Linked DNA regions of Astyanax mexicanus. The main gene of each other region encodes a partner of the protein of the gene in region 3 in a complex. Links are inferred from orthologs where the notes say so. Each region holds a gene or a part of one and is shown on either strand. Other genes may lie near its edges. The genes, in order: dhx16, bud13 and cwc22.

The links.
Region 1: cwc22 (region 3) and dhx16 share a complex: the UniProt entries of both Homo sapiens proteins name them as parts of the minor spliceosome. The link is inferred for Astyanax mexicanus from reciprocal best matches to the Homo sapiens genes CWC22 and DHX16.
Region 2: cwc22 (region 3) and bud13 share a complex: the UniProt entries of both Homo sapiens proteins name them as parts of the minor spliceosome. The link is inferred for Astyanax mexicanus from reciprocal best matches to the Homo sapiens genes CWC22 and BUD13.

What each region holds. Positions count from the first base shown.
Region 1 is NC_064425.1:26,943,502-26,954,377, forward strand, and holds the start of dhx16 (pre-mRNA-splicing factor ATP-dependent RNA helicase DHX16), read right to left. Parts: upstream 4,367-10,876; 5' UTR 4,053-4,366; intron 3,105-4,052; 5' UTR 3,085-3,104; coding exon 2,887-3,084; intron 2,770-2,886; coding exon 2,534-2,769; intron 1,963-2,533; coding exon 1,785-1,962; intron 1,688-1,784; coding exon 1,631-1,687; intron 1,261-1,630; coding exon 1,006-1,260; intron 244-1,005; coding exon 4-243; intron 1-3. Other genes in the region: ppt2a.2 (lysosomal thioesterase PPT2-A-like), read left to right, coding at 5,529-5,666, 7,221-7,374, 7,798-7,893, 8,167-8,274, 8,684-8,767, 8,928-9,012. UniProt on the Homo sapiens protein: Required for pre-mRNA splicing as a component of the spliceosome. Contributes to pre-mRNA splicing after spliceosome formation and prior to the first transesterification reaction.
Region 2 is NC_064424.1:6,795,196-6,806,615, reverse strand, and holds the start of bud13 (BUD13 homolog), read right to left. Parts: upstream 4,553-11,420; 5' UTR 4,518-4,552; coding exon 4,375-4,517; intron 3,028-4,374; coding exon 2,928-3,027; intron 1,688-2,927; coding exon 1,603-1,687; intron 1,502-1,602; coding exon 1,459-1,501; intron 786-1,458; coding exon 463-785; intron 1-462. UniProt on the Homo sapiens protein: Involved in pre-mRNA splicing as component of the activated spliceosome. As a component of the minor spliceosome, involved in the splicing of U12-type introns in pre-mRNAs.
Region 3 is NC_064418.1:50,564,878-50,575,663, reverse strand, and holds the start of cwc22 (pre-mRNA-splicing factor CWC22 homolog), read right to left. Parts: upstream 5,244-10,786; 5' UTR 5,190-5,243; coding exon 5,124-5,189; intron 1-5,123. UniProt on the Homo sapiens protein: Required for pre-mRNA splicing as component of the spliceosome. As a component of the minor spliceosome, involved in the splicing of U12-type introns in pre-mRNAs. Promotes exon-junction complex (EJC) assembly.

The DNA.
Region 1 (10,876 bases), on a different chromosome or scaffold from region 3:
AACCTTTTCAGATTGTGTTCCCTTCATGGTGATAGCAGTGCTTACAAAGTTAATCATCTCCTCCTCCTCCAGCACTAATTGGTACTTCTCTTTCTCCTCCTTTAACCGTCGCTCTCTCTCCGCTTTTGCTCCAAACTGTAAGGTTGCGGTAGCGACCCGCGCCTCCTCCCATCGGCCCTGCTCCCCACCCCCTTCGCGGGGAGTCTCTTCAAACTCCAGCTCCAGGTCTCTCTGAGGTATGGACTGAAAAACGGGGGAAAGAGCAAAAAAATTAAAATAAAAAATAAAAAATAAATAAAAAGTAAATAACAGGCTCTTTGTTCTTATAGAGTTCTTTTAAAACTCACTTAAGCAGTTTTCACAAAGATTCTGATATTCACCAGTGTTTTTTTTTTAGATCAATCATTATAAGAGCAGAGATGTGAACAGTTTTAAAGTTTAAAACCACATCATGAATCTGACAGACTTTTCTCAAAGAACAATTTAAGAATATTTTAAGATACTGATAAATAAATGAGGCTGACTCTTCTTTTACTGTTTTTTTCCCTGAAAGTACTGTTTAAGAGAAGTCATTTTCCCTGATATTAAAAGTCCTTAGAATTGTTGCAGCTCATCCACCTGCACCACATGTATTTACACTATCAATATTTTTATTAAAACACAGGCTCTCTAAACTCCTTAAGACTTGCTCAAGAAGAATTTGACTTACTAAAGTAACTGCTTCATTACTCCACGTGGTGGCTCTAATCAAATGATCAGGGTAAACTTGTGGTGATATTGAATATTGGTTGTTCTATGAAACGGACACCAATAAATCCATAATTTACCCTCTTCAGTGCGATATATTGGAGTATCACAGTTTGGGATATCATTGCAATCATAGGCAACATATTGATAATATGATAATATGATAGTATGATAATATTGTAGAATGAGATGCCCTGTGATTCCCACCACCTAATGTAGATATGTAGGTTATCATCTACCCAAAATGCTCCACCTTACCTTCTTTCTGTTCTCCTCTGGCATGTAGTAGCGGTTCTTTCTCTCCTCTTTCTCCTTTGCTCCAGCTGTCTTGTAGTCTCGTGCCAGGTCTCTGATCTGTCTCTTGTAGTCTAGCTCTTTCCTCTCCCTGTCAGTGAGGTTATCGCTGGAGAAGAGGTACTCCTCATCCAAAATCTCTGCTTCCAGGTCTTCCAGCTTCTCCTGCTCACGCTTGGCCAGGTAATCCCATCGTGACTGTTTTCGAAGCTCAGGGAGCTGTGGAGGAATTGTGAGAACGTGAAACGACGTTATTTAAGGGGGCTTTCACACTTGCACTTTTTAATGGCTGAAATGGACAGTTATGAACATACCATGAATGTCATATCTGATGTTTACAAAAATCTTTAACTGCAGCAGACCAGTGCAAACCATGTATAGGTGTGAATGAGCCAAAATATAGTACGCTTTGCAATGTGAAGTATACTGTATATCCAAGACAAATTAAGCTTTAGTTACTTTAGTTGACAAACAATCCAGCCTCATCTTAAATTGTGAATACTGGACAATGGGAGGTGGCAATCTTTCAATTTAAACTACTCAGTGTTATTTATAAAATGCAATGAGATGTGTAAGAGGAATATCTTACCATTTTCTTCTGATCTTCTTCAGCCATCTTAAGTCTCTTCTGAGCCTCCTCATATGCCTAAGAGCAAAGAGGAAGTTTCAGTTACATTAGTTTTAGTTAAAAAGGTAAAACAATGTTTTACACATATAATATAGTGATGTTTTAGGGCTCATACCTTCTTATCGTTTCTTTCAAGTATATGTCTAGTCTTTTCTTTGTCTCTCTGCTTGACTCTTTCTGCAAATGCGTCTCTCTCTTCCAGATCTTGTAACCGCTCTCGCTCCTCCTTTTCCCACTCTTCTTCATCATCCTCTTTTACTCCTGTCTTTGAATCTTGGGATGTTACTTTTGTGCTGAACAGAGCAAGCAAACAAACAATAAAAATAATACATTTAAATATGCACTTTAAAGCTTCTTAAAAACAAACTCTCCCTCCGTTTTCAGGTAATCAAATTCAGTATTCATGTTTTAAGTTAAGCATTTGTGGTTTTTAAACATTACTCGGTTACACTGAATTACACTGCAACTTAGCACAATTTAACAAGTGCAGTCTCCACAAGGGTAGAACAAGTACATAATAGCTTAAATAAATTGTCACAGTTTAAAATTAATTCAATTTACACTGTTATACAATTGGCTGAATGTTTTTACAAAACTAATTAAATGAAAAGGCACAGAAACTCAAATGAATGAAAATTACACAGGAAAAAAATCTAATGGAAAACTTAAGTGGTGTACATGAGTCAAAGTATTTAATTCTAATGGAAATAACAAGTGAAAGGAATCTAAGTGGACAAAACCATATTGTTTGTTAGGGTTACGTCATCTGCATTAGGTCTATGCGACACTCCCATAAACAAAGTGTCAGAGAAATCCAGTATAATTTTTTCCTCCATCTCTGCACTTAAACATTTAATATCTCACCTCTTTTTTCTGTCCTCCTCACTTGATGAACCGTCATCTTGTTTTTGTCTTAGGTGCTTTCTCTTCTTCCCTCTATCTTTATCTTTGCTTTTCTTCTCTTTCCCTTTTTCTTTGACAGTATCTCCATCACTGTCACTGTCCTCCAGGAGGGTGTATGTTCGGTTCTTCCTGTCCATCTCGATGGCCTGACGCTCTACCGCTCTCGCAGGTTTCTCCACAACCTGTTTCTTTGGGATCTGAACACAACAAAGCAAAAGGTGTCAATCATCAAAGTAAAGCGATATTACACAACAAAACACACACACACACACAAACACACACACACACACAGTTGGTGTTAACTTGGAAGGTACCTTGTTATATAGCTCCTGTGCGAAAGCAGTGACTCTCTGGTCGATGTCAATGGTGCCGGTGTGCTCCAGACGAGCCAAAAAATCCTGTGAACTCGAGGACTTCTGCACAAGGCCGATCATAAACTGGGCCACGTACCGGTCGCTCAGGCCCAAGATGTCGTGAAGCCTGTCACTCACCCACTGCTCAAGATTAGCCATGTTGAAGGGAGGATGAACAGCTGAAACACATTGTGCTTCAATGTTAACATCACCAATCACATAACTTTTACTTCTTTAAACATTAATATATTTCAATGACTGCTTCAGAGATTTTAAAAACACTTTGCTGAAAGGAATGGATTTATTAAAAAAACGAATTTGCACATTTTTTTTTTTTTTACTTTTTTTCAAATATATATTAGCGACATAGCACCAGTAAAGATCTAAAGAAATAAACTTTAGATGCAAACACGTAATATTCCATGGTCAGACTGGTTGTGGTGTCTCCTAATCATCTCCTTTTAAATCCCTTATCTCTTAATATTATTTTATACCCTGAAACTGAACACTGATTTTAGACATCTAACCTATTGAATTCTTCTTCTCTATTAAATTTAGCCTTTTTGTATTTGTATTTTTCCATACCTGCACCTAATTCATTCTGTATCATTATGCTAATATGCACATAATCTGTACTACAGTTCTTCTGTTTTAATATGTCCCAATTCCAGTGTAAATAGTGATTTAAGCACCTATATATTTTACTGTTTATATATTCGAATCCTGTTCAACTGAAGCAGTGAGTGAAAAAAATAATAGTGCGTGTGCATATTCTGTATTTTTAATTGGGTATATTATATGTTAACAAATAAGAGAGTTTTCAATCGCTTGTGTTCTGACAATAAATCTGATCTGATTCGATTAGATTTGATGTTATTGATGCCGTTTTGCAACCTGATGTGATGGGTAAATGAACACAGCTGTAAAGGAGGAAATATATACTTTAAAGCAAAAAAATAGAATTTAATGTCTGATAAGGCACAGTTCCTACAACTGTGAACGAAACATGCAGATCCCCGAGACAGTAAACAACCCCCATGACTCGCTAAAACTAACGAGAGTAAGAAAGAGAAAGAGTGTACCAGATCGTTTTACTCAATTTAACAGTTAAACAGAAGAAATCTTACCTAACTAAAGCTTATTTCCAGTTTGAGCAGATCAGGGAGCATCCAGAGCTCAGGCTGGATAAGTTAGCTGTTAGCTGTTAGCTGTAGTCCAGCTGAGGGTGAAGCTTGTAACACAGTCTGTGTGTCTGAAGTTCAGACCCTGATTCTTTCACACTGAAATATTATCTCCTCTATTCCATTCTCTTTCACTGACTCTCATCATCAGACTGTTAACGAAGGACTCCACAGGGTTTTATAGACTAAAACAGCAGCACTGTATCTGCTGCTGCTACTCACGCTGTCTTCACTTTATTTACTTCCGAGTTCGACCAGCCGCCACCTGACAAAATAAAAGCACAGATACATATATATATATACATATATATATATATGTATATATATATATATGTATATATATAGATCCAAAAACTGGAAGAAACTCTGTAAGGGTCAGTGTGATCTCAATTATTAATTTTACAATTAATTTACAATTAAATTGTAGTATATAAGTTAATTGTAACATTTTTCACCAGATTTGACAATAATTCTCATAGACTTAAATCTTAAGTGGCCGTTTCAAAAAACGCATTTGAGTAAATATGAAATATAAAAAAAGACTTTTTTATATATATATTTCTTTTTTTTATTTGATTCCTTTAAAAAGTAGTTCAAATTAATTTTCAATCAATTCAAAAATCAATCTCTGTTTAAAAATCTTTGCAATGTTATGTTCTTGTTAGAGGGCTCTGTTCTTCTAATGGATTCAAATAACTATTTCATTTAACAACCCTTTAGTCTTTTAAAAACTTGTTAAATTTTTCAGACATTTATCATGCATAATATCAGTTATTAAAAAAAGCTAAATTATTATAAATTCTGTCTTTTGTGTCTGCTGCTTAGTACATTCAGAATACTTAACATCATCACTGCCATGCAAAAACCTTTCCTTAAACGAAAAAAATACAGGAGAACAAAAAACTTCTAGAGTTTCAAAGAAAGCCGTTTTTTTTCATATCATTTTTGACCTTTTTATTTGTCCATTATTATATAAAGACATTATAACAACTGCAAATACATGTGCAAAAATAAAAAAGAAAGAAATCGAGATTTTTTTTTTTGCGATATGCAGATTACATGCAAATAAACGCAGGTTAATCTCCGCCCACTGCTCGTGGCCGCTCAGATCTACAATTGTGTGTGTAGTGGCTTAACTAGAAAAGTGAAGTGGGCCTGATGTGCGGTAGTACACTTAAAATACTTGTTACCGGTTTCAGTTAAAAGGTGTTGTTTTCTGCACACGGTGAAGGAAGTGGTCTCTGAGATTAGACCTGAATAAATAAATAAGAGGAACCACCTACCAGCTTAAAGTGGGAATTAGCCTCTTGTCAGCCGCATTTTTTACTCTCAGAGCGTCAGGAGTGCTGGGTTTAAAGTCACCGCCACTTTAGACAGGCATTAACCAAGAAAATCGTGGATATACGCTTTAATTAGGCAGAAATGATCAGGAATTTTATAAACTTTGTGCTTTCCTGCGTTTTGCTAGCTGTTGTCTGTGGCTATCGACCAGTGGTTATTGTTCATGGGCTGTTTGATGGCCCCAAACAGTTTGTGAAGCTGGGGACATTTATCAGTGAGGTAAGAAAAAAAACAAATGTAGGTAAGTTAGTAGTCTTGTAATTGTCTGTGTTTATGAAGATTAAATAATTGTGTGTGGTGTGAAATGCTCTATTCCAGTGTAGGCCCACTGCCCTGCACATTTTACCAACACAATAACGTGCTGTTGTTAGTGAGCTAATGAATTAATTGGATCAGGTGTGTTGGGAGCAGTGGGCCTCCAGGACTATGGTTGAGAAATACTGCTGAATACTATACCCTATGAATATATACTATGCCCCATAAAAACTGAAATAGTTTACAAATTACATTGCACAAATACTAAGGTGGAATTTTGGCCTAAAATGTAACATACACAACTTTCTTTTTGACCACTATTTTAGCTGTAAATAGTTTTAATGTAAGAAACCTTAATAATATTCCTAGGTCAAACTGATTTGTTTGTCTGTGTAGTTAAAAATAGTATTGTTCTCCATAACCATGTTTAGCTGACTTAATATCATCATAATTAATATTCAAGATATTCAAATGATTCACCCAATACAGAACATTGTTTCTATTTTAAAGGTTTATTTACTACGATGCAGAGTTGGCTGGAACAGTATGTGTGCAATGAAATACATAAATATATTCATCTTGATAATACGAACATTAAACCATTAAATTATGGACAGTAAGGGTTATGGTTAGGGTTTTGTGCTCCAAAATGATTACAATGGTTTATTTTGTTTACATACCAAGGATTAAATTTGAGGTTTTTGAATATCATTTAATCTACCCCACATTCTACATGAACATGATATTTGGCAGTTTTGTAATTTGTATACAACCAATAGAAATGCTCCTGACTTGGCATAAAATCTTTTAATTTATGGGGTGCACAATAAATCAATACAGACTTATGTATTTATTTATTTATTTATTTATTATTTTTTACATTTGTTACAAAACAATTCACTCATTTTTGTTGCATACCTAGCAGACACACACATTTGCCTAAAATTGTTATGCAGAGGGGGACATTGAATAATTAAATATTGTTAAAATATTTTTACTTGTTGTTTTTAATTGTATTAATTAAGCAATGTTTGTTATTTTTACTATTTTAACACTCTTTTTATATTGAGTTCCATTGAACATTGTTTTTGTTTGCTTCTGGAACATTTTTGCATGACTGTGACAAAATAGTGGTGAAAAGCAAAATTAGATTTAATTTTACTTCAGTTGAATTATTTCTGACCAGATAGAGAACACTTCTCAATGCTGGTCCTGAAGTACCACCACCCTGCACCACATTGTAGTATTTCTCAGCTCCATTTGGCAGCATGTGATCCAACTGAGGGCCTACTTTACAAAACCCTTGTAAGCTGTGTTGGTGCAGGGGCCAGAGACATTGCAGTCCAGTGGTACTCCAGGGCCAGCCTTAAGAAGCACTTCTGTGTGTTTGTGTGTGTTGAAGAGCGGGAGTGTGTGGGTGTATCAGTAGTTTGGCATTGCTGTTTCCAACCTGCAACTAAGTTTCTTTCAGTTCATGAATTAAAATCCTTGACTTCTCTTTTTCACTTTGTTTTTTAGACTCACCCAGGTACCAATGTGACCACAGTAGACCTGTATGACAACATGGCCAGTCTGAAACCCCTGTGGCAGCAGGTTGAGGGCTTTAGAAAGGCTGTGTTGCCAATCATGGAAAGTGCCACAGATGGAATTCACTTCATTTGCTTCTCACAAGGTCTGCTGCCCTTCATGTCCAAATCCAAGTTTCTTCAGCTGTTAGGAACTATATAGTTTATATAGTATAATTACAGACCGTAGTTCATCTCTTTCTCTGCATACATTATTGTCGTCCTTATATTTTGTTTTTAATGGTCAGGTGGTCATGACATAGTAGCGGGGTTTACTGTAAGTATGTAATGTGCATTACAGAATAGAGAATGACCCACCACCCAAATAATACCTGTTCTCTGATGGTCCTGTGTGAACAGAGTAAACAGAGGATAATAAAGCAGCAGAGAAACTGAATGACTACAGTCTGTAATTATAGAACTGCAACATGCTCCTACAAGATCGTATAAGACAAGTGAGTATGTGCGGGGAAAAGGAGATAGTATTGTTATGGTTGACTGATGTATTTTCATATGGGTTAACTGTGCAGGTGGTTTGGTATGCCGTGGACTTCTTGCCACTCTTCCGAAACACAATGTTCATTCACTGATCTTTCTGTCATCACCACTAGCTGGCCAGTACGGAGGTTAATATAACTTTTACAATTCAATATTCAGCTGCTGTCATATATTTTTATCTTAATACAGTTTAACAACTACAGATAACTTTATTTTTAATAACTCTATTTTTACAGAAATATTATTTATTTTGTACAGTTTTATCACACATTATAATTACGATTTCTTGTACCATCAAGGTGCCATTTAAAAAATAATAATATATAGAAACACTGTTAGAAAATACACAAAGTTTAATTGTCTGAAAATTTCAAACACTAAAATCACCTCTCTTTTTACAGAAACTTCCTATCTGAAGAAAGTCTTCCCAAAAGATATTAAGTCAGGAGTTTATCGCCTGTGCTACAACTGCTGGGGACAAAAGATCTCAATCTGCAACTTCTGGAATGGTTAGAGGTTTTCACCACATTGTCTTTTTTTTTTAGATGTAATAAAATGGGAATTGTGGCTTGATTGGAATGTCTAGAATTTGTTTATGTAAATTTCTTTAGGGACAAACATTATCTAACGTATAGGAATTGAGTATACTTTTTTGGATTAAATAATACAATATTTTCTTTAAGTGTTACAAATATTGCAAAAAAACAATGAATATATTTTCATAAAGCTTAGCATCACCTGAATGTTGTGCTTATTTGGGTTTCGTGAAATAATTATTGAATTTTTTGAGCAAAAAAATAAAGAAATATTGCTCAGCTCTGTTCAATGTAGATTTATTAAAATCTTTAATTTAAGTATTTATTCTGATACAAATAATTAAATTCTGATATCATTGTATATCCAATTTGTCATCTTTAGATCCACACCAGAGAGTGAAGTACTTGAAGAGCAACACTTATCTTGCCCTTTTAAATGGCGAGAGCAAAACCCCCAATATAACAGGTAATCTCTTTTTTAAGATTTACAAAAAGCTATTGTTTTTCAAATTCTAACACTACTACTAAATTACTTTAAGACAGTTTTGAAGGCAACATAAATTGATTAAATATCTATGCTTTGGTTGAACATGAACGGAATCCTGTATTTTGTTCCTCTTTTTCAGAATGGCGAGAACGCTTCTTGGGCATTAAGAAGTTGGTGCTGATTGGAGGACCAGATGATGGAGTTATTACACCTTGGCAGTCGAGGTATCAGATTATATATTTAACTGCTCATTTCATCACTTAATTAGGAAATCATTTTAAAGGTGTTAAAATTACATTCAAAGAACACAACAATAAGTTCTATTTTTTTATTGAATTTGTTTAAAAAGTAATGACCCCCTACGTGATTTAAAGGACTGAAATTAATATCATGTATGTGAAAACTTTGATGAATGGTAGTATGTTAGTATGGAAAAGAAAAGTAGGGCTGGGCTATGGTAAAATATTATCACAATATTTTTTTGCAATATTTTGACAGTGTAGACAAAAGCATCTGTATCTGCATTTTTTTTGTCACAACTGCCATTCAGTTACTCTCCCATAGTTAATACAGTTCTTTATTTTTTATGTAAAATATGTTGCACTTCACCCAGATAAAAAAAGACTAATTACACTTGTAATGAAACTTTGTAATAAAATATGCATTTAATAATTTAATCAATATTAATGGAGCACTGGGGATGTCCATGATGTCCATCAGAAAAAATATTTTGTGTCTCATGATAACAAAATGTATCACAATTTACTGAAATACCTGCATATTGCTTAGCTCTAACACATAGATATTTAAAAATCCAGACCTGGGGCCTCATTTGTAAAACTCTAAATTCTGAAGCAAAAGTGTGTGCACGCATAAAAAACAGGAAATTGCGCCCACCCAAAAAATTGGATAAAAAAAAAATGTGTGTACGCAAACCTAAATGCTGTTTCCTTTTATATAAATTACAATCTGCTTATAAATATTTGCAGGTGACCCAGCTGCATATTTCGCCACTCTGCTGCCCACATTTACCCATAAAAGTCCATGCAAAACACTTACTGACTATTTAAATATTGTATTCCCCATTTATCCTGAGTGGGATAACAGGAACTCAAGACAACAAAGTGAAATTTTAGAGACTGTGAAGTAGAATTCCTTGTTTCGGAGGTTGAGGCGAGGAAGAATGTGTTGTTTGGTGGTTGCAGCCAACATGTGCCTGCAGCAATTAATAATGATAACTCCACAATCCAAACTGTTGTAAAGGATAAAAAGGTCTTCAAATTTAAAAAGCTTTTCCAAGGGTTGTGAACACATGTAAGTGTTCATTTATTGCCTGGTTCAAGAAACATTGGTCTCTAAAAATCTGTACCCAACTCATCACACAGTTCAATGAGTGTGGCTACTGGAAACCTAAATCGATTCATTAACCTGTCATCCTTATTCCCAAAAAAATGTTCATGATCTCTGGAAACGTCATTGCAGTATTTGTCGGTTGTCTAGGAATAATAATAATAATAATAACAATAATAATAATAACAATAATAATTATTGTTATTATTATTATTGTTATTATTATTATTATATAGATAGCACCTCTAGATTTTTAATCCAGATAATACAAATTAAATTTAAATAAACTACAAGTAAAATACACAAGTTAGCATAAAAATACTACATATAAAGCAGAATAAGATATGGCAAGCTTTAAAACTTTATACATGCAGATGAAAAATCTATTTAAACACGTATATTTATATTTTATTATATTTGAAATACTTTGATCTTACGTTTTTAATCTTGATATATGCAGTATGAATTAATATACGTGAGGAAGGTTAACGCATTTACTTGCAATTCCGTGCTTTTACCACATGATGGCACTAATTCCCGCTCTCTCCGCAATCTTTTAAAGTGATAGTATGCCTCAAACCTAGCTTAAATTTACGCTCGTTTTTATGCCAAGCATTTCTTTATAAGTTCTAGCGTGAGATGTTGTGCGCACACATTTTTTAAGCCTGTTTTTTTGCGTATGCACCCTTTATAAATGAGGCCCCTGGATATTAGTGGGTTAAGGGTTAAGCTGCCTGG
Region 2 (11,420 bases), on a different chromosome or scaffold from region 3:
AGGGGGGTTGTTGGGGAGGAGCTGGGTTGCGAACTTTCGTCACGAGAGGTAGTTAGTTAGGGCAGGTATTTATAGGGCGGCTGATTGATACAGGGTGGGGTTAGAATGTAGGGTTCGGGTGTGGTCCTTCTCTCAAACTTTTGTTATTACATAACATCACTTATCGTCATTTTTAACAAGGAAAATACCCAAATTTGTGGGTTTCTTTTGATCACTTGTGCTGCACCATCTTGCCAGTGATTCTCATAGCCATACGTTTAGAGTGCTCCCCTGAAAATTCTAAATTGCAGGGCCATGTAGCCCCAGCACTTTCCCTAACCTACCCCTCCATTCTAACAGCTTAAGAATCAGGACATGCAAAACAAAGGGTCAGGGCTAATCAGTGGGGAAAATGGGATTGGGTGAAAGACTCCATGGAAATGGCGCAAGTGTACGAAAAATCAAAGAGCTTAGTACCCGTACCTCTGCTCTGTTGCCTTTGTGAATTAGAAGATGAGCTTTTCATAATCTTTCGTGGAGGAGAAGGTGACGAGGAGTCATGCCGCCTGCGTGATGTCTCTGCCTTTAGTCTTGGTGGGGAAAGGTCTGGAGAATCGTGTCGGATTCTCCTCTGTGGCGAATGGTCAGGCGAGTCGTGGCGGACTCTTCTTTTGGGGGACAGATCAGGGGAGTCGTGGCGGACTCTCCTCTGTGGTGAAAGATCAGGAGAATCATGGCGAGTTCGACGCACTGGAGAATTATCAGGAGAATCATGTCGGACTCTTCTGTTCCCTTTGACTTCTGAACTAAAGAGAGAGGAACACACATACAGAAGTAAAGTCAAGATATTCATAATCAACTTCAAATCGCTAAAATATAAACCTTTTTAAAATTCTTAACTTTTTATAAAAGTCAATCGAAAATGATTTTAATTACATATATTTTAGAGCATGTATACTGGTTTCTCTGTCGATAAATGTCCCACAGTATTTGAAGAACCTTACATCTTGGGTTGAACACAGAGCCCATTTCCATCCAACTATTTCCTACACAGCGCCAGTAGCCTCCTCCCACCTAACAGCTAGGCTACTGTGGCAATTTATGATCAAATCAACAACATTAAAACAGAACCTGAAGAACAACATTCTATCAAAAAGTGAAAAACAGAAAAAAAAAAAAAAAAAAAAGATTTTGGAGAATTAGGGCAGCAACTGATTATTTTGGTAGGCGACTATTTTTCCCCTCTAATTAGCGGTTAGTTATTTCTGCCGTGCTTTTCATCTTTGTTACCTGAAGGTACGGCTTTAAGCTGTTCCTAGCTTCCTCCATTTTCGCTAGAGAGACTATATCTTCGCTATAGTCAACACTGAAATTTGGATTAAATTTTTTTTTTAAATCAACATCGACTAATAGTTGCAGCCCTACTGACCATAAGATAATATATAATTCTTGTCAGCTGTTAGGATAAAGTTGAGTTACCTTGAATGTGAAACTGGAGATTCTTGGGATTCCTCATTTGTTGCTGTGAAATTTGACATAAACAAGAAAACCTAAATTACATTCAGTAAGAAACTAAACATTTTAAATTTAATCTCATTAGAAAGTCAAGATATGACATCTCACCTCCCATTATCCTCCACTTGTTACTGGTTCTAAATGCTTCCAGTTGCTGGACTTCATCTGGACGTTCGTCTATTATCTCTGCAACCTGCAAAGGAGACACTATGCTTCAAGAATGGAAGATGAAGCAGCTCGGCTGCAGAGATGACTTAATCAGGCAGAACATTTTACAAGTTAATTTTTTATCAGGCTCATCCACAGATGAATGGGTAGGCACATATAGGAACGTGCATACATGGGATATTTAGTAGTGAGGAAATTACACGACTGGTCTTGTTGCACAGGTGCTGCATCCTATCAGGGTACCACAGTGCTGGAGTTCCCTGGGCCCTTGAGAGAGACCCATTCTTTCACTAATGTTTAAAGAAGCAGTCTGTATGACCAGGGTCTTGGTTTCATTTACCTGAGGCTATGGAAGTGACTGGAACCTGTGAATACTTTTGATAATATAATGTAGGTAAAAAAAAAAAGTCATATAGTGTAGATGTGTATATATGCACACCCAGTCAGTCCAGTTTATCTTATATCCAATGACATTTGCATATTGCACCTACCATCTATTGCACTGATCCACCAAAGTTTTTAAATCTGTCTGTTCATCGACTGTACTGTAGTATTTTATGTCCGGGAAATCTAGCTATCGCTATCCCACTATGTGGGAATTCTGGGTTGATGCAGATATCCAATATTACATGCATTATATGGATATAGCTGCCGATTCTGATGCAGATATACACATGTATAACTTACAGAGAGACTAGAAATCACAGTATAACTTTTTAACTTTAAAGTTGATACAAAAAAGGCTTATATCAATATATTTTAGTACTAGTAGCATGGCCAGTGTTAGCCAATTGTAGTAGAGAACGAACACCTTTTCCAGCATACAATTAATACATCAGAAACTACGGGTTTGAAATATTGGCCATATTGGGGGGGGGGGGGGGGGGAGATATAATTCCATTATCATTGTGCATCTCTTATATCTAAGGAATAACCCTGCTAAAAATCCAGCTCAAGACCAGCTGGTCAAAAAGAAAAAAAAAACATTCCCTATGCTGGTTAGGTAGCTCGTTAACTAGCTTTTGACAGGAAGAGACTATGTGGTTTTCAGGGATGATTGGCTCATCTTTGGTTAATTCTTTTAGCAGGGATTGATATAGTCCAATCTGCCCTTTGGAAAAGATTTGGACACCTCTCCTTAAGGTGTTTTGTGACCTGAATAAGAGTTTTACTGTTTTTACATAACTGGTTGAAGTTCTACATTTGAACTCTTTATTAAATATAATTTAAATGCATTTCAATTAAATTTAACTAGTGTAATATACCACAGGCGCCTCTTCTTCTTCCTCCTCCTCCTCCTTGTTTTCCTCTTCTGTCTTCGCGCTCAGCTGCCTCCAGTCAATATCATCATCTACAATCTTCATCCTAAAACAGTGCACACAAGAACACTGACCTGTACATTTCATTACAGAGAGTGTAAACATTTCAGTAACATAAATCACTGTACTCTGCATGAAAGTAGGGGTGGGCGATATGGCTCTAAAATAATATCAGGATATTTCAGGGTATTTTTGTGATAACGATATACTTGGCGATATAGGAAAACAGAAAAATAATTAATTGATTTCAGGAATATAGTATAAGAGTAGAACAGCATAATCATAATGTGGCAAAATAAAAGATATAGCATAAAATATTATAATGCAGCAAAAAATATTGCAGAATATTTAGTGCATGCATATAAACTGCAAACTAAAACAATTATACAATAAATACACCTAAAGCTTCACAGTAAATAATAGACTACTTTTAATACAGAACATCTCTATTAGAACATCTCTAATCAGGATATGTATTTTTAATATCATGATATTTCTGTGTCACGATATATATTGTATACGATATAATATTGCTCACCCCTACATGAAAGAGTATTTGAATATAAATTTTAAGAAGATACACTTCTGGAATATCTTTTCCTCGAGTCAAAACAATAAAAACACCAAAATAAAAACAATGCTTCATAAGATTATCAGAATATCTTTAAGTACTGTGATATAATCTCCGTGGTCCACTGATATTTGCTTCTGTCAGAAACCTGTAAACAACTCTTTCATGTTGCAGTGATTTTCATATTTTACATGTATCCTTTCCTAAAGGTAGACTTTTAAAGTTATAGTGTTTACTAGCGGTGGGCAATATTATATTGTATACGATATATTGTGACACAGAAATATCATGATATTAAAAATCAATATTGTGATAATAGAGCTTCTCTGTCTTAAAAATAGTCTATTATTTACTGTGAAGCTTTAGGTGTATTTATTGTATAATTGTTTTAGTTTGCAGTTTATATGCATGCACTAAATATTCTGAAACGTTATTTGCTGCATTATATTATTTTATGCTAGATTTATTTTGCCACATTATGACTATACTGTTATACTATTATACTATATTCCTGAAATGAATGAATTATTTTAGTTTTCCTACATCGCAAAAATACCCTGAAATATCGTGATATAATTTTAGAGCCATATCGCCCACCCCTAGTGTTTACTATAAAAAGCAGCATGTAAGGTTGAATGGGTCTGATTAATGCTTACTATAACACTGTATTTAATTCAGTAGTGTACTGTAGGAGTTCCCCGCTCTATGGGTTATAGCTGTAGTGTTAGCATAGCTTAGCTTAGCATAGTTTCTGTGTGTTTTTGGATTGTTTAGCTTAGCATTAGCATAGCTCTGAGTTCCTGCAGTCCCGGCCGCACTCACCCTCTCCCCGGGGCTTTAACCCGCTTCTTCTTCCCCTTCTTCTCTTTATCCGCTTTATTATCCGCATCTTTACTCAGATATCGCTTTAAATAATCCGCTTTAGACAGAGCAGCGCCTTTACTCAGCCCTGTGGAAGCGGCCATCGTGTTTATGACCGACGTCACAACGACAACCGGAGCCGTTGTGGGACATACAGTACAAAACGCTTTTTTTGTGGGAATGACTAAAAACTTCATTGTGAAATATACTGTTGTACCAGTCATAAGTCTTTCAGTCTTCTTATTTAATGAGTTTTATGTTTTTTTTTACATTGTAAATATAAGGTTGAACTAATAAAAAACTAAAAAAAAAAAAGTGTTAAACAATCCAGAAAATCGTTGCTGTCCAATGAAAAACAAGTATCTCCATTTTTCATTTGTCAAAAATTTTTGATGAATCTACCAATAGAAGTTCTAGGCTACGCCACAGAGTCCTATAGTGCACTATCCCCTTCCCCAAAACACATTTTTGCAAAATATATAATGACTATTTTTGGTTCTACTAACCACAAAATCAAAGCTATGAAAGAAATAGCTGTTATTGTTTTTGCAGCAATACAACTCCAGCAAGATTTGCATGACTTTATTACAACACTGGAAATTTACAGTATAACAGCATTATACATTATACAGTATCAGACATCCCAAGTTGCAAAAGTTGATTTCAGGGAGCCAGTACCGAAATGCGGGAGACTCCCGCAACTTCAGGGAGACTTGGTTTGTCTGCAGTATAAGCACCCAATGTTCTAATGCTGTTCAAGGATCAATATTCTTGGAGGAGAACAATAATGTCCAGCGTTGCTCACCATCTTTTTTTGGGAAAAGAAAGCCATTTATCCCACAAGAAAATACAGCAATAATACAGAGATAAAAAAACAACTTCTTCTATTTTTATATTTCTTTCCCCCAAACCTACAAACCGAGATAAAATGCAGTGAAAGTGATTATGAATAATGGAGTGTAATCATGTTGACCCAATTGAGCTTTTCTTACATAATTTATATAAATGAAAGGAAACAGTGGTTTATATAGTGAACAGCTCTACATTAATGCTGTTTATTACTATTTAAGCACAACTGCAAATAAAATATGAATAAAACTGCCTTTTCTAAAATATGGAGGTTCACATAGAAGGAACTCCCCAAGAAGACTGGCTATCTACATCTATCTATTTGAAACAACAACAGGATGTCTGTGGGTGTCTTTTCTACACGCTCATGATCAGGAAATGAAAAGTAACGGTTTGTTTAAGGCTGCGCTCATTTCTAATCCTCCAGATCATTCTGTGATAATCAAACCCAGGTAGGCATTAAAACTTAAGCTTGCTCTTTTAAATATATATTATATATACATATACTTGATCTCCTTCTGACTTTGTGATTAATGAAGAATTAAACTTTTTGTTTAGACACTTTATGAGGACGGGGGTGGGGTGGAGGGGATTTCAGTACATGTAATGAGGCTTGCAGAATCATTTGTTTAGTCTTATCTGTATACTCTGTATACATCATGTACTATTCATTGCATTTCCTGTGCCGTAGGATATGAAGCCATCTTAATAAGTTGTGACATGTTGACATGGGCCATCATGCCACTTGACTTAAAAAAGACAAGACTAGATTACCCATTATTAATCCCATAGAAGAGACATTTGCAGTGTTACAGCAGCACAGTGGATGAAAATGTTAGGAAATATAAAAACAATAAATAAAACACAATGAACATTTTTTTAAAAAGAAATATAATTGATATATTTACATTTGTCTATTAGGTCATCTTCTAACAATTTTATTTTTTTATTACCATTAGAAGAACAGAAGTTTCTAATGGCAACAAACTTAATGCTTGATACAGATATATCATTTGAATGTGTAAAGGCAACACTAATGCTCACCAAAGTACACAGCTGGCTATACGTGGGCCTGTTTTTTTGCCTGAACATTGCAAATATAAATTTCACCCAGAATTTATGTGTCTTTAAGACTTCTTTAAAATGATTAAGCACCAAATTGTATCAGTATTTTGTATTTTTTGCAGTGATCTGAACACACTCTGTGGACTTCATCATGTGGGCAGAAAACGACTCGGGTCCTCCAGGAGTGCCTTGTCTTGAGAGCCGTTCAGAGCCTGTAGAGGGAGGAGTGTATCGGATGTATCACGGCACTTCTCGACCTGCTGCTGAGAGTATCATGGCTCATGGGTTTAAGCAGTCTGTAGACGGCATGCTGGGGCGTGGTGTTTACCTCAGCCGTGATCTTAATAAAGCCAGCAGATACCCTCTGAATTTACCTGAGAACCAGAGAGTCGTCCTGCGTGTAAAAGTTAATGTAGGAAGAGTGAAGAAAATTGATCGTCAAGGTCACCCACTGCAGAAGAGCTGGCACGATCACGGGTACGACACTGCCTGGTGTCCTCCAGAGTGCGGCATGGTTCCCAGTGGTCTTGAAGAAGACTGTGTGTGGGATCCCAACCGTATCCAGGTTATTAATGCAATTAAAGCAAGACGATAAGGGTACGTTAAGGGTACTGGAATCACTTCCAGCACTAGGACCAACAGAATGTTTTATACAATGCTGACGTACAGTATTAAAGTTAGTTATGATAAACATTCTACTTTATTAAGTCTAGAAAATAGAAATTCAATCAATAAAGAACTGAGGATCTTATTCACTTCTCTATGTTTTTTATCCATCTCTCTCAATTCAGTTAAATTCAATTTTATTTATATTGCACTTTTTACAACAGAAGTTGTCAAAATGCAGCTTTACAGAGAAAAACAGGTTCACGCCTCTTATGAGGAAAGAGATGATAGAGAGCACAGAGATCAATTATTCTAGTGACATTAAGAGGAAGAAACTCTAGGAGGAACCAAGACTCATTCAGAGGAACCCATCCCTCTCGAGTCGACCCGCTCACTACAATCAAATAACAGAACAAAACATGTGGAGCTATATCTAATGTAATAGGTACTTCAGGAACAGGGCATCTCGATACATGTAGAAGAGATAGATAGAGAACACAGAAAGGCAGAGAAATTGAACTATTTTTGCCTGGATGTATGTAGAACAGTATGTAGAGTGTGGCTAATGACAGCCTAACTAAAGGCAGAGAGCCAGAAGGTAACACAGACACGGAGGCACCCTGAAAGACTGGCATCCACCCACTCCACCAATAGCAGTACCAGCATCTCAGTTTATCCACAATTCCCTTTATCCATGAACCCCTGGATCTGCAGCCTTATCTAAAGGGAAAAACATTAACTATCAAAATCTAAACTAAACAAGTAAGATAAAGATTGAGACTATGTCTGAGTCCCGAATATATTCTGGAAGATTATTCCAGAGTTGGACATTTGGCATAGAAGACAGTGTTGTTGAGCAAATAACATTTGACTTCAATGATTAGATTAGATTATTATTCACAGCTCTGGAATTATTATTTTAGCTCTGGAAGCTTCTTTGGAAGGGTTACATTTCTCAACATAGTACTTTCCGATTCCCCAAAGATGCCCAACAGGTTTCAGATCAGGCAACATGTTAGGCCAGTTGTTGATTTTTACTTTCGTTTCTTCAAAAATTAATCTGTGTTTAAGGTTTTTCTGATATTACATGGCCCAGTTCTGGGCCCAGCTACCACTTGTATCTTGCTTACACGACCCAGTGGAAGGACACTGATAACTCCAATTTACATCATGGTGACCGCAAACAGCAGCCGCAGCCAGCTATAATTGGGGTAGTTTATACTAGTGGTGTCAATTAAAATACTAGTATATACTAGTATGTTTGAGGGGAGATAAAGCCAACATGGGGTGCTGAAATAAAGAATGCGTGATCAATTTGATAAAGAAAACTTTTTTTTACTTTATTATAAACATCTCAGCTTGGTTGTAGGTATTTCTGAATTAGAACTTTAGAAATTTGCTGAGTATAAAAGAGTGTTTACACACCTGTAGTTGTGAAATTTCTATGATCCGGATCAGTTGATGAGTTTATTGAGTTTATGAGTTTATTTATATAGATAGTTTATTTGGAGTGTTTTTCCCTCTGTTTGGTTTGGTTTCACACAGGCATAAACCTTAACGCAACAAATGCGCACTAATAAACCACGTGACATCCTCTCCTCTGATTGGTCAGAGCTGTCTGGCACTTGAGCAAGAAAGTAAATATAGTGAGAAGATTCTGTGCTGCAGCACATATACCTGTGCAGTGTGAAGCTGCTTTAACACAGAATGCTGAAAATTTGACTCTGTGCTTTTAAACATGTCTCACTCTCTTTCTTTCTCTTTTAAACTCATGTGAAAGAAAAGAAACTACAGAAGAAAAGAAAGCGAAACCAAACGCTCATGAATGTACAGACAGGACCTGATGATGATGATGATGATGATGATGATGATGATGATGAAATTATGTGGAATTTTGTCGGTCTGACTGGTAGGCCATGTAAAACAGGTTAAACAGGATCTAGACATTAAAACATATATATGACTCATAACTTTATCATTTTAGTTTCAGCTTTTAACTACCAGTGCATGACTTAATATAATTTACCCTGACCACGTGCCGCATGCAATCAGACAGAAACTGTCACGGAAACTGTCACATTTAGATAAAAAAAAGCTAATAAAGTGAAGATTACCCTTGTGAAAAAGTAATATACTTAAGAGCATTAAAAGTATTTTCAAATAAGGTAAAGAATATAAAAGTGTGTTTTCAATTTTACATACTTTAAGAAAAAGCACATTAAATATACTTTCTCTGTATTTCCAGAAAATGTATTCTTAAGCAATATGCTTTAGTGCTTTAGTATACATTGTGTTGATAGAATATAGTAGCAATAAATACTGCTTTGTTCCATAGTCATTGAGGTGTATACAATATGTGCATCAGTACGCTCAGTACACAGTACACTTAAAATATACTTCAATTGTATGTTTAAAAACACATACTTAAATCTACTTAAGTTTGCAGAAGTTGTACGAGAAAGCACTCAAAAGCACAATTTAATGCTTTTATGTTGCATTTAAATATAGCTTAATTAAAAGTTAAATATGCTTAAGTTGCCATACGTTGTTCCAAATTAGTACATTAAGTATGTATTTAAGTGCATATTTTAATTTTAAAAAGTATGTACTTTAAAAATATATACTTAATACACTTTTTAGGGTGTATACAGGGTAATACAGGGTATTCTTCAAATAAATCATCAATAGGACAGTTTACATTTTAACCCAAAATAACCTATAATGATCTATGCGTGCAGACCCTTTAAAAGCTGTGTAAAGTTCTGTCCTTTACTTATTTATAAAGTCCCTACGTTACATATAGCCTGCTGAATATCCTGAGAGCATCACTACAGGGCGGTGTTTGAATCTGCGTTCGTTCATCTAAGCACTGGTTTAGTGCAAGAGATAAAACTAGCTTCTTTAAAAGTGTATTTTAGCTTCTAAAGCTCTGTTCCAACCATGTAACCTTTAAAATGCTTAAATTAAATGTATGTTTTGTGTTATATATAATTAGTTCTTACCTGATTTTAAAGAAGTTTAATTTTTAATTTTGATGTTTAAATTTAATTTTGGTGTGGTAAAACACGATGAAAAGATCTTACCTTTGATGAATAGCACAACTCAGTTCTCCAGAAATTTTAACAGTTTGTCCAAACACCCTTCAGACTGGGTGACACGGGGCATATTTTACCCCGATAAATCAATTTTTCCATCGTTAAAACAAGGCATTAATAACTTAAAAAGTGCACAAGAAGCTCAATAAAAACACTTTTTATATCCTATAACGCTAGCTTCAGCTGTGAGTGCCACCATTACTCCTGGCGCCGACTGCTACGCTATGCAGAGTCTATATAGAGGTGTGCTATTCATCAAACCATTTTTACACCAGAGTTCTCCTTTAACTATAAAATAATAAAATACAATTTTCATGTTACATCTGGATTATAACCTTAGAATATTTACAGTCATGTGCTCTTTTTATCACAAAAAGAAAAAAAGTAAATATAATTAATTTTGTATCAATATTCAGAACTGGGAAGAAGCCAGAACTCCATTAAGAACAATGAGCATGAATTCCTACTTTCATTCATACAGTTCATTTAAAGAATGTGTTATTCTCTATGGAAGCAAAAATGGTACCTCTAAGGCATTACTCAAATAATCTTTTGTAGCACCTTTAGTTTTTTTAGAAATAAAAAAAATCTTCTGTAAATCTTCTGATTTTCTTATCAATAAAAAAAACTCATGCTACATTTGAATCACTCATATGATACAGGACAGGCATCTTTCAGGTATTTAGCTGTATTGTGAAATCTCATACACAAGAAATGAGAAGCATCTATGGAATGAGGTTATAAAGCTAACACATGCTTACGTAAACACACAGCTCTCCTTTATAAACTCAATCTAAAAATGAGCTCAGTCTGATTAGACGCGTCTTCACACAGGTGAGTGATGTACCCTTTTTCTTTACACAGGTTTTCTTTAACTGTGTTTCAGGCTGTCTGTGAACTACACAAGCGGAAGTAGCTACAGAAAAATTATGAGTATTAGGTAGCACCAAACTGTATCTACAAAAAGATGTACTGTAGATATTTTATGTATTTCTGTAAAAAACGAAATTTAATTAGGTGTGCCTAATATTCCTGATTAAACAGTGGCTTCATCACACATTAAAAATAATTGAATAGTGCATTTATAAAGCATTATGTATATATTTATGAACAGCTTATGCCATCATTCACAACATAATATAAGATTTTGTATGAAATAAATTATATTTTATTAATATAACCTGCATGATTGTTAAATATGAAGTGTACATTTAGTAGAAATGAACTATGAGAGGGAAAAAAAACACTGATTTAAGGCATAAAAGAACATTAAATAACATGTCTACATAATTCTGCTTAAAGCAGCAGTCTTTTTTCTGTTTTTATATATATATTAAAAGCAATAGTGTTCCTGAGTGCAAAATATTATATAATAATATAATAAATGGCATC
Region 3 (10,786 bases):
CACCCTGGTATAACTTTATAACTTTAAAACTAATAAAAATAAATAAAAAAATAGCTCAAAACCAATGAGTTTACAATTGTAGTAGTGCTTGGTCCTGCTTGGTTTCCAGCTTACAATAAACACTTTATAGATCCCTATAGACACAAAAAAAAAAACGTGTTCTTAATCATCTATCAGTCTGGAAAAGGTTAAACAGTCATATTTTTAAGACTTTGGGACTCCAGAGAACCACAGTGATTCACTATTATCCACTAATGGAGAAATCAAACATGGAACACTGGTGAACCTTCCCAGGAGTGACCGGCCGACCGACTGAAATTACTCCAAAAGGACATGAAGAACTCATCCAGGAGGTCCCAAAAGAACCCAGAACAACATTTAAAGAACTGCAGGATCTCACTAAAGCCTCAGTTACGATCAGTGTTAATGATTCAATAATAAGAAAGAGATAATAAGAATATTTTTTTCATGATACATTTAATGAGACATTTCTGCATGTATGTAAGGTATGGACTCTGCTTAGAAAAACGCATACTAAGATGTTTATAAAAAAGCACAGGTATCACAGGTGTGTGCGCTTATCAGGGGGTTTTAGGCGCGAGAGCGAGAATGTAAATCAGCTAATTCAGTTTGTGCTGACGTGTTCGGCTGTTTGTAATGAAGTGTAACAGCAACCCGTCTGACACGCCGTCTCGCACCAACCACCGACAAACAGCATAACCAGCACAAACAGCATAAACAGCAGGAACAGCGCAGCACACGCCTGCGTCCCCGTCCCCGCGCTGCAACAGCACTCCTCAGAGTCTCCGTTTCTACAGAGACGCCAATCACAGCTGCCGGCGGTTCGTTTTCAATCAAAACTCAATTTGCTGTGAGTGTAGGAACCCTGCCGGGGCAGCAGACGGGCTTTTCTCCTTTGTTGCCGGAGGAGCCCGTGAGCCGGGTCCTGAGCGGTTCTGAGTGAGATACAGGAGGATGAAGCTCCGATCCGAAAGAGGAGGAAGGAGGGGGGTTGGTTTTGCCTCGTGGAAGAATAGCCTTGGGTTTGCTTCCTCTGCAGAAACGAAAGGCCTTCAGGGAGAAGAAGCAGCAGCAGCAGAGACCCCCAAGCTTATAGAAACGCCGGCCAGTACACAAACTTATCTACACAGTGGGAACAATGGGAAACGGCCGGGCCCTCGGCATCCAGGGCGCTGAAGGGATAAATTATTAACACAGACTGGTCATCGCTATAAAAAGGATAAAGAAACAGACTGAGATAAAGCAGTATAAGCACTTTACCCTGAGCTCCAGAGAAAAACTACAGATTTAGCCTCAATTCTGCATCCGAGCGTATCCACCGTATCCACCGCATTTACGGCACCATCCACCCTGATATCAGTCGAGCACCCTTTTAAAATAGTGGAGGAATTTTCAACTCTAAGCTTAAATCTCTGTCAAACAAAAAACAGACCCTCAAACGCAAGCTAGACACAAAATGCAGTCAAATATAGAGGTGGGCGATATGGCCCTAAAATAATATCACAATATTCCATGGTATTTTTGCGATAACGATATTCTTGGCGATATGACAAAACATTCAATTAAAACATGCAAAAAACTGCAAAAAAATGAAAATGTATTTTTAATATTGCATACGATATTATATGGCACATCCCTAACTGAGATATTTAAAAAATAAATAAATAATTTTATCAGATTTGTAACAGAAGTCAATGATCCTGAATAATCAGTCATGATACTAATAAGTGTTATTCTAATCACGCCAACCAATAATGCACTCCTCCAAATATCTCCATATAAAAGAAAGGATTAAAATAAAATAAATGAAAACAGTAAAAAGTAGAACCCTGATGTGATAATTAGGGGTGGGTGATATATGGGCATCATATTTCAGGTTATAATATGGTTCAACTTCACCATATTTAAAATAGTTGGCGATATTATCGCATACGATACGATATGTCACAACCCTAGTCAAATAAGTAAAAGAACCAATAATGCAGGCGGTCACCACTAATGCATTAATGCATGCCATTTGTTTGGGAAAATTAAACCTGTTTGTTTTATTTAAGATAAATTATTCACGTGCGTCTGAGAATTTAAAGAGCCTGGAGACACATTAGCGGTTTTATTAGGCGACAGTGCCACTTACTGACAAGTTAGGAAGACTAAACAGCACTGCTGAGATAACGCCATGAATATAATGACCTTGTTGAGGTGAATTCACAATTAGAACAGTCACAATGCTAAGGTAAATGCTGAGGTAAATGCTGAGGTAAATGTATAAATAAAAGAGCACTGCTGAGGTAAATCCATGATTAGAATAGCACTGCTGAGGTAAATCCATGATTAGAATAGTGCTGCTCAGGTAAATGTATGATTAAAAAGAAAGAAGCTTTGCTGAGGTAAATTCATGATTAGAATAAAAATATTTTTTGTACACTGGAATATTTACTATTTCAGGTTCCAGACTATACATAAAGAGATTAAATGACAAAGATAAAGTGGAAAAATTATACATTTTACCTGTAGTGTATATTCAAAGAATATTGAGATTTCATTTTAATTTCTGAGGTAAATGTATGATTAGAATAGCCCTGAATGATAATGTTTTGTGTGCAATAAACATTTTTAAATTGTATATCTGCAGTTGTTTTTTCTTTTTGAAAAGCAAGACAAACATAAATGTATACTATTTAAATTTTTAATGGTATATAAAGATAATTTATTAAGTTTGTACTGTGAATAAAAAACTTAGATATGACTCACAGGAGCTAAAATACACTTTTCTTTTAGAGCTTACGCTCTTAAATTTTTAAACACTTCTTAAGTGGAACAGATGGAACACTTACTGCAACCTGAAACTCCAAAATAAACTACTTTATCAAATAAAACGTTCCGAAATAAAACAGGAAGAGAAGGCTAAGCTAAATAAATCATGTTAAAGCCAGTGTCAGAAGGTGTCTGAAATATTAAAAATGGATTATGGATTTTTTTATTTACGTTCTGATTCTGAAAGTACCTTTTAGGTCACATTTAATCTCAAGATCATAGAATGATAAGACTACATATATCCCTAGATACAATACTACAGTGTATAATTAGTGTGTTAGTGTGTACAGTGTATTTCGCCCCACCCCTATAGACATTTATTTTTGCTTTTTTTTTTATCATACTTACATTTTTCAGATTATTAAACAAACTTCAAAAACAGAAAGACCTGGGTAAACATAAAAAAAAGCCTTTTTTACTATTTCTTGTAATAAGGGAAAACAACATTTATCCAAACCAACCTAGCCATAGCTACAATGAAAATCACTAAAATAGAACATATCTGAAAACATAAGGAAGATAAAAGATCTAAAAAATCAGCACATTATTATTCTCCCATCTGAAGAAATTCAACATCAGATGAGAAAAAGTTACTGATCATCTTTCAGTCTGGAAAAGGTTATAAAGTCATTTCTAAAGCTTTGAGACTCCAGAGAACCACAGTGATTCACTATTATTCACTAATGGAGAAAAAACAAATGGAACACTGGTGAACCTTCCCAGGAGTGACCGGCCGACCCAAATTACTGCAAAGGGCATGAAGAACTCATCCAGGAGGTCCATAAAAGAACCCAGAACAACATTTAAAGAACTGCAGGATCTCACTAAAGCCTCAGTTAAGATCAGTGTTAATGATTTAATAATAAGAAATAAATAATAAAAAAAAAAACACTGCTGACCAAAAACAGAGAAATACAACCACCCGTCTCACATTTACCAACTAACATCCTGATGATCTCCAGCTGCTTTTTATATTTACTTAGGTTATATTTGTTTGATATTGAAGTTTGTTTGAGAATATGAAAAATATAAGTATGACAAAAAAAGCAATGACAAAAGAAATCTATAAGGAGCAAATATATTTTTTACGGCACTATAATAGTGTAGTGTGTATTAGTTAATATAGTGAGAGTTAGGTGAGAGTTTGGCGAGAGTTTTATAAACACCACTCTACTGGTAAGTGTAAATAAACACCAAGAGTTTGTGTGTTAGTTTAAAACAGTGAGTATAAGTGTAGAGTATTAGTGTAGTATATTATAGTGAGTATTAGTATAGGTATAGTATTGGTGGTGTTGTAGTGTAATGGTGTAGAATTAGTGTAGTATAGTGAGTATTGGTCTAGTATAGTGAGCATAAGCATAGTAGACTACAGTGAGCATTACTGTAGTATAGTAAGTATCAATGTAGAATATTCTAGTGACTGCTAGTGTAGTATAGTGAGTATTAGTGTAGTATGGTGAGCATTAGTGTAGTACAGTGAATTTTAGTGTATAATAGTTTTCAGAATAGTATAGTGTTAGTCCAGTACAGTGCATATTAGTGTGGTATTAAAGTGTTAGTATAGTATAGTGAGTGTTAAAGTAGTATTACAGTAGTAATACAGTATAGTATTAGTGTAGAATTAGTGAGTTTTAATGTAGTATAGTGAGTGTTCTACAAGTAGTCAGTGTTAGTCCAGTATAGTTAGTATTAGTGTAGTATTATAGAGTGTTAGTGTAGTATAGTTAGTGTTAGTGTAGTATAGTGAGTGTTATTGTAGTAACTAATAGTGTTAGTCTTGTATTACAGTGAGTGTTAGTGTAGTAAAGTGAGTATTACTGTACTATAGTATTTGTTAGTCTAGCACAGTTATTATGAGTGTGGAATAGAGTATCATTATAGTAATTATAGTGAGTATTAGTGTAGTATAGTGAATAGTAATGTAGTATAGTGAGTGTTAGCTCTAAGTTTGGTGCTAAAGTAGGACAGTTGTTTGAACACCATAATTACTGTAAACATCATTACTATTAACTGTAAATAAACACTAAGAGTGTGTTTGTTAGTTAGTATAGGGGGTTTATTAGTGTGTGTGAGCCGCATTTGACCTTAAATCTGCTGTTTAATGATCAATAACCCGATTAATCGATAGTTGTGTAGTATGAGATTAATAACGCGCGCTCCGGGAGTGTGTGTGTACACAGGCCGCTCTCCCGCTCTCTCCCCCCGGTCTGTGTCCCGCGCTCTCCCCGCTCCGGGTCCCGCTCCCCCGCAGCGGTATCTCCGCCGCCCGCTCCCCGGCTCCCGCTCACCTGCTCCGGGCTGCGGGTTAATCCCTCCGCCGCCTCTTTTTCTCCGGACTCCGCCGCCGCCGCCATGTTCGCCTCTTTCCACCACGAGTGGAAGCCGCTACGGGTACCGGAAAGGGACAAACAACAAAAGTGAAAACGCGTTTTAGACGCAGCTTGAAGTCGATGTCAGAAAAAAAGGCGCGACTTCCTGTATGAACACGGTAACGTTGCGACAACGTTTAGACAGTCTATTATTTTGCAGCTTACAACGTTTCCTAAACGATTAAACGTAGAAACTACTGTGTTAAATTTAAACAAATAACAAAATAAGACGTTATTGATATTATCTCAATAAAACACATTATTATTATTACTATTATTATTATTATTATTATTATTATTATTATTATTATCATAAAAAAATCATATAAATCTTCACTTTAACTAACTTTTTCTATGTTATATACGGTTTTATTGGTTGTGGGGGGTGAGTTTGTCTGCAGCACTGCCTGATTACATTACCATGGTCCTTTTAAAATATTATATTGTTAATTTTTTAAACACGTTTTTTTTTTACAATGATTTAGCTATTTTAAATGTTTATTATTAACATTTGACATCATCAGTGACATCACAACCAAGGTATTGTTTTTAGGGGGCAAATACTTTCTCACATATATTTTTTTTCACAAATAAATGAAATTATCGTTCAAAAAAAATATTTTTTTAGTTACTCAGATTATCCTTGTCTGATATTAAAAGATTTTTTTTTATTCTGAAAATGTAAGTATGAAAAAGAACCCAAAACTAAAATGAAATACTTTTTTTACCACACTGTATTTCTTGATTATTGTTTATTGTAAATGCAGTATGCCTACTGAGACATGTGGGAAAGTTTAAGACAGAGGGAAATAACAGGAGTGTGAGAATAGGGAGGAGTGAACCACAGAGTCTACATGGCTCCCCCTTAAACCCTATACTAATTATTTAGCTATTAATACTAATACAGTAAATAACTACTGATATTGTGAATGGTGGAGTTCCACAAGGTTCAACTGTAGGACCTATAGAACTTTAAATATCTGAAGTGTGAAAATAAAGCTTATATGCAGGCTCTACCAGGTACACAAACAAACCTGATCAAGGTTAAAATTTTTAGGTTGAAATCAATACCTTATACATTTTTTTAATATAAATATTTTCTGAGTTGCTTTGAAAATGCATTGCGGACCACAACTGATACCCATATCACTGGTCTATAGTGTTCTGCCCTTTGTGCTCAGCTTGAATGCAGTGAAATAACCATCTATTTTGCTCAGAATAAGTTTTGTGCTTTTTGGATTGGATCACTCTTTTTAAGACCTCCTGAAGTAAACAAGACGTGTAATTGGAGCAGGAATGTCCTGTATACTGCTATATAAGACTTTCCTCTCAGTAATACACCTGTATGTCTTGGTCCTGCAGCCAGACAGAGGCTGTGCCCCTGACGTCCTCCACCAATCAGAGAGTCTCAGCTCTAATTTAACTATCCCGTTGGCAGGACATGCCACACACTGCCCTCTCTGCCCGCTGTGCCCACTCTCTCTCTCTCAGTACAGGAACCAGCGCCACAGGCCCTGCCCCACCACACAGCCACCAGACGGCCGGTAAACACTGTGTGAGAGAAATAATAATGAATAGAAAATAAAAACAACAAAAACAACAAAGCTAAAATTGCTTTACTTACATAATAACAGTTACTGCTGCATATTCAGCCAGAGGTTCAGTTCACATTAAAACCATAAAACTGTTCTTAACACTATCAAACATTTCAGCAACATACACTCATTTATATCAAGGTTTGTGCATGTTTAATGTATTTATTTTAGCTTATTTTTAAAGATAAGATAAGAGAAAACTTTAACTTTAGTGGAACCTTTAGTCTCCTGCTTGATGGCAGCAGCTGAAATGATGAGTAAAGAGGATGGTTATGGTCACAATGCACGATTATAATCACCTGTAAATCACCTGTATTGTGTATTTTTCAGATTTGGGGTTGTGCGTTCATCGCTATCTCGGTAACACAGGCGCCGTGCCGAGCCGAGCGTACACCCCCACTTATTACACACACATGAACACACAGCAGCACAAACCCAACTTTTACATCAACAATAAACAGAATAGTAAATAAAATAACATTGCTGTTCCCGTAAATGAGCTGCTGGAGCTCCTTCACAGCGTCAACCAGCAGCTCAGTTTCCTCTGCTGAGAAGAGTTTGTTGAACACGTCCAGGTAGCTGCACCGTTACAATAGCAATCCACCAAAGACAGAGCTCACCTGATCTACTCTTAAAGAGAATGATGAGCTGAAGAGACTCTCTGATTGGTTTATTAAATTTATTTCACGTTACGCCCAAAATTAACCACACCCATGATTAATACTTTTCCCGTCTTTACAATAGCAAAGACACACTGCCACGCCCTAAATCAAGCTTCATGGTGCACGAATGATGGCACACCTATGGATAAATAGGACCTAAGATCTCATGTGTCTAGAAAAGGAATTAAATTTAGTATTTATCTCTAAGTAGTACAGTAGGGCAGGTTACTGGGCTGGTGAGCTGGCACCGGATGCTGAGGCGGTGTTGGGCGTGTGTGTGGTGTGTGTGGTTCAGGCTGCAGTGTGTGTGGTCCCTGATGGCGGTGTGGACCCGGTGTAACCCAGTTGAAGCCCGGTGCCGGCCTGGGCCGGGTCCAGCTCCATCTGGAGGAGTTTAGTGTGTGATGGGATGCAGCTGCTCACCAGCCACACCACACTAATACTAACACTCCTGCTCCTACTGCGGGAGAGGACGCCCCCTACTGAACATCTGAAGAACAGCTCTGTAAAATAATAAGAGAGCACTTAAAAATGATGAGTTTCTTTGATTTTACCAAATTGAAAACCTCTGGAATATAATCAAGAGGAAGATGGATGATCACAAACCATCAAACCACCAAACTGAACTGCTTGAATTATTACACCAGGAGTAAAGCAGCATAAAGTTATCCAAAAGCAGTGTGTAAGACTGGTGGAGGAGAACATGATGCCAAGATGCATGAAAAAAAAAACTGTGATTAAAAAACAGGGTTATTCCACCAAATATTGATTATTTCTGAACTCTTAAAACTTTATGAATATGAACTTGTTTTCTTTGCATTATTTGAGGTCTGAAAGTTCTGCATCTTTTTTGTTATTTCAGTCATTTCTCATTTTCTGTAAATAAATGCTCTAAATGAGAATATTTTTATTTGTAATTTGGGAGAAATGTTGTCTGTAGTTTATAGAATAAAACAACAATGTTCATTTTACTCAAACAATCTATCTCTCTGTCTCTCTGTCTGTCTGTCTGATTATCTCTGATTAAACTCGGCAGAGTGTGTACAGACTCTTTGCTTACACAATACCGCCCCCTAGTGCTGATCAGAGGCAGTGCGTTACTGCTCTCAACCTGTTTATATTCCAATATATTTGCTTCTTTGGTTCTAGTGCTGTTTTTTTGTGATAAGGGCTAAGCTATCCTTTCATTGGCTCATAAACTTTTTATTTGGCTTGTTTAAAGTCTATTCTGATTAAAAACAGCTCTCGGTTAGTGTTTTGACACTTAAAAAAATAAGAAAATGCATGATGCCCATTGTAATGAAAGCAGGGTCTGAAAGGGTTAAAAAATGGTTTAATGTTTTTTTCTTAGAGTTATAGCCACTTCCTCTATCAGTATTTTAATTTTAAGTGGGAGTGAGTGAGTGTGATTAATTGCTCTTATTCTGTTATGTTGTGTAATAAAAGTGTAACTAACAGTGTTTTATCATTCTGAGATAATCACTCATCTCATCATATCCTCTGTTTCTCTAAAACTCGTTATTAAGCGTAATTGAAGACGTCACCTATTATCGACTCGTCATCCGTCCTGAAGCGATTGAGATTCTTCAGTCTGGTTCATCACTCATCAATCATCATCATCACTCATTACACATCACTCATCAATCATCACTCATCATTCATCACTCATCGTTTATCATTCATCACTCATCATTTATCACTCATCACTCATCAATCATCACTCATCATTCATCACTCATCACACATCAAGCATCAAACATTACTCATCACTCATCGTTTATCACTCATCACACATCACTCCTCACTCATCAATCATCACTTATCACACATCAATCATCATTAATCACTCATCAATCATCACTCATCGTTCATCACTCATCAATCATCACTCATCACTCATCAATCATCACTCATCACACATCACTCATCACACATCAATCATCACTCATCGTTCATCTCTTATCGTTTATCACTCATCAATCATCAATCATCACTCATCAATCATCACTCATCGTTCATCAATCATCACTCATCAATCATCACTCGTCACTCATCAATAATCACTCATCACTCATATATAATCACTCATCAATCATCACTCATCGATATTCACTCATCAATCATCACTCATCAATCATCACTCATTACTCATAAATCATCACTCATCAATCATCACTCATCACTCATCACTCATTACTCATCAATCATCACTCTTTAATAATCATTCATCAATCATCACTCATCAATCATTACTCATCAATCATCACTCGTCACTCATCAATAATCACTCATCACTCATATATAATCACTCATCAATCATCACTCATCGATATTCACTCATCAATCATCACTCATCAATCATCACTCATCGTTCATCAATCATCACTCATCAATCATCACTCATCAATCATCACTCGTCACTCATCAATAATCACTCATCACTCATATATAATCACTCATCAATCATCACTCATCGATATTCACTCATCAATCATCACTCATCAATCATCACTCATCAATCATCACTCATCAATCATCACTCATCACTCATTACTCATCAATCATCACTCTTTAATAATCATTCATCAATCATCACTCATCAATCATTACTCATCAATCATCACTCATCACATATCAATCATCACTCATCAATCATTACTCATCACACTGTCCGACCAATAATTATCTCTGATTAAAGCATTTTCAGACGCATCGTCCCTCTGCTAATCACCCAAGTCTCCGTCCCCGTCTCTGAGACGAGCGTCCTCTGAGTGACAGGAAAGGCCTGTCTTACCCTTAAACACTTCAGAGCGCATTAGGCCGCGATCCATCAGCCTAATTAACGGTACAGCCGGGCCGGCGCAGTTATTCTCCGGCCGGGAGGGACGTGACAGCGCTGTACTGTAATCTGACTGTGGATTTTATTAGTTCTGAATTATAGTGCTAATGACTCGGAACACAATGTTTTATAGAGTGCTGATCTGGCGATAATTTATAATCATCCAATAAAAGAATAAGAGTCAATAACAGAGAGAATAAGATGATGTTGGTGATGTGGATCAGCACAAGGCTGCGTCTGTGAGCTGGTGTATCAGAACCACCAGAGCTGCTGCGCTTTCCTCCGAGCGTTAGCGCTGTGATGCTACTCGATAATGCTACAGCATCAGCAGCAGTTTAAAAAGAGGCGGAGTCTGACTTCACATGTATCGGAGGAGGCGTGTGTTGGTCTTCTTAACCCTCCTGGTGTTGGAGCATCACTAGTGATGTTGGTTTAATTGGCCATGTAAATTGGGAAAAAATGGGAAAACAATTATAAATAAAATGA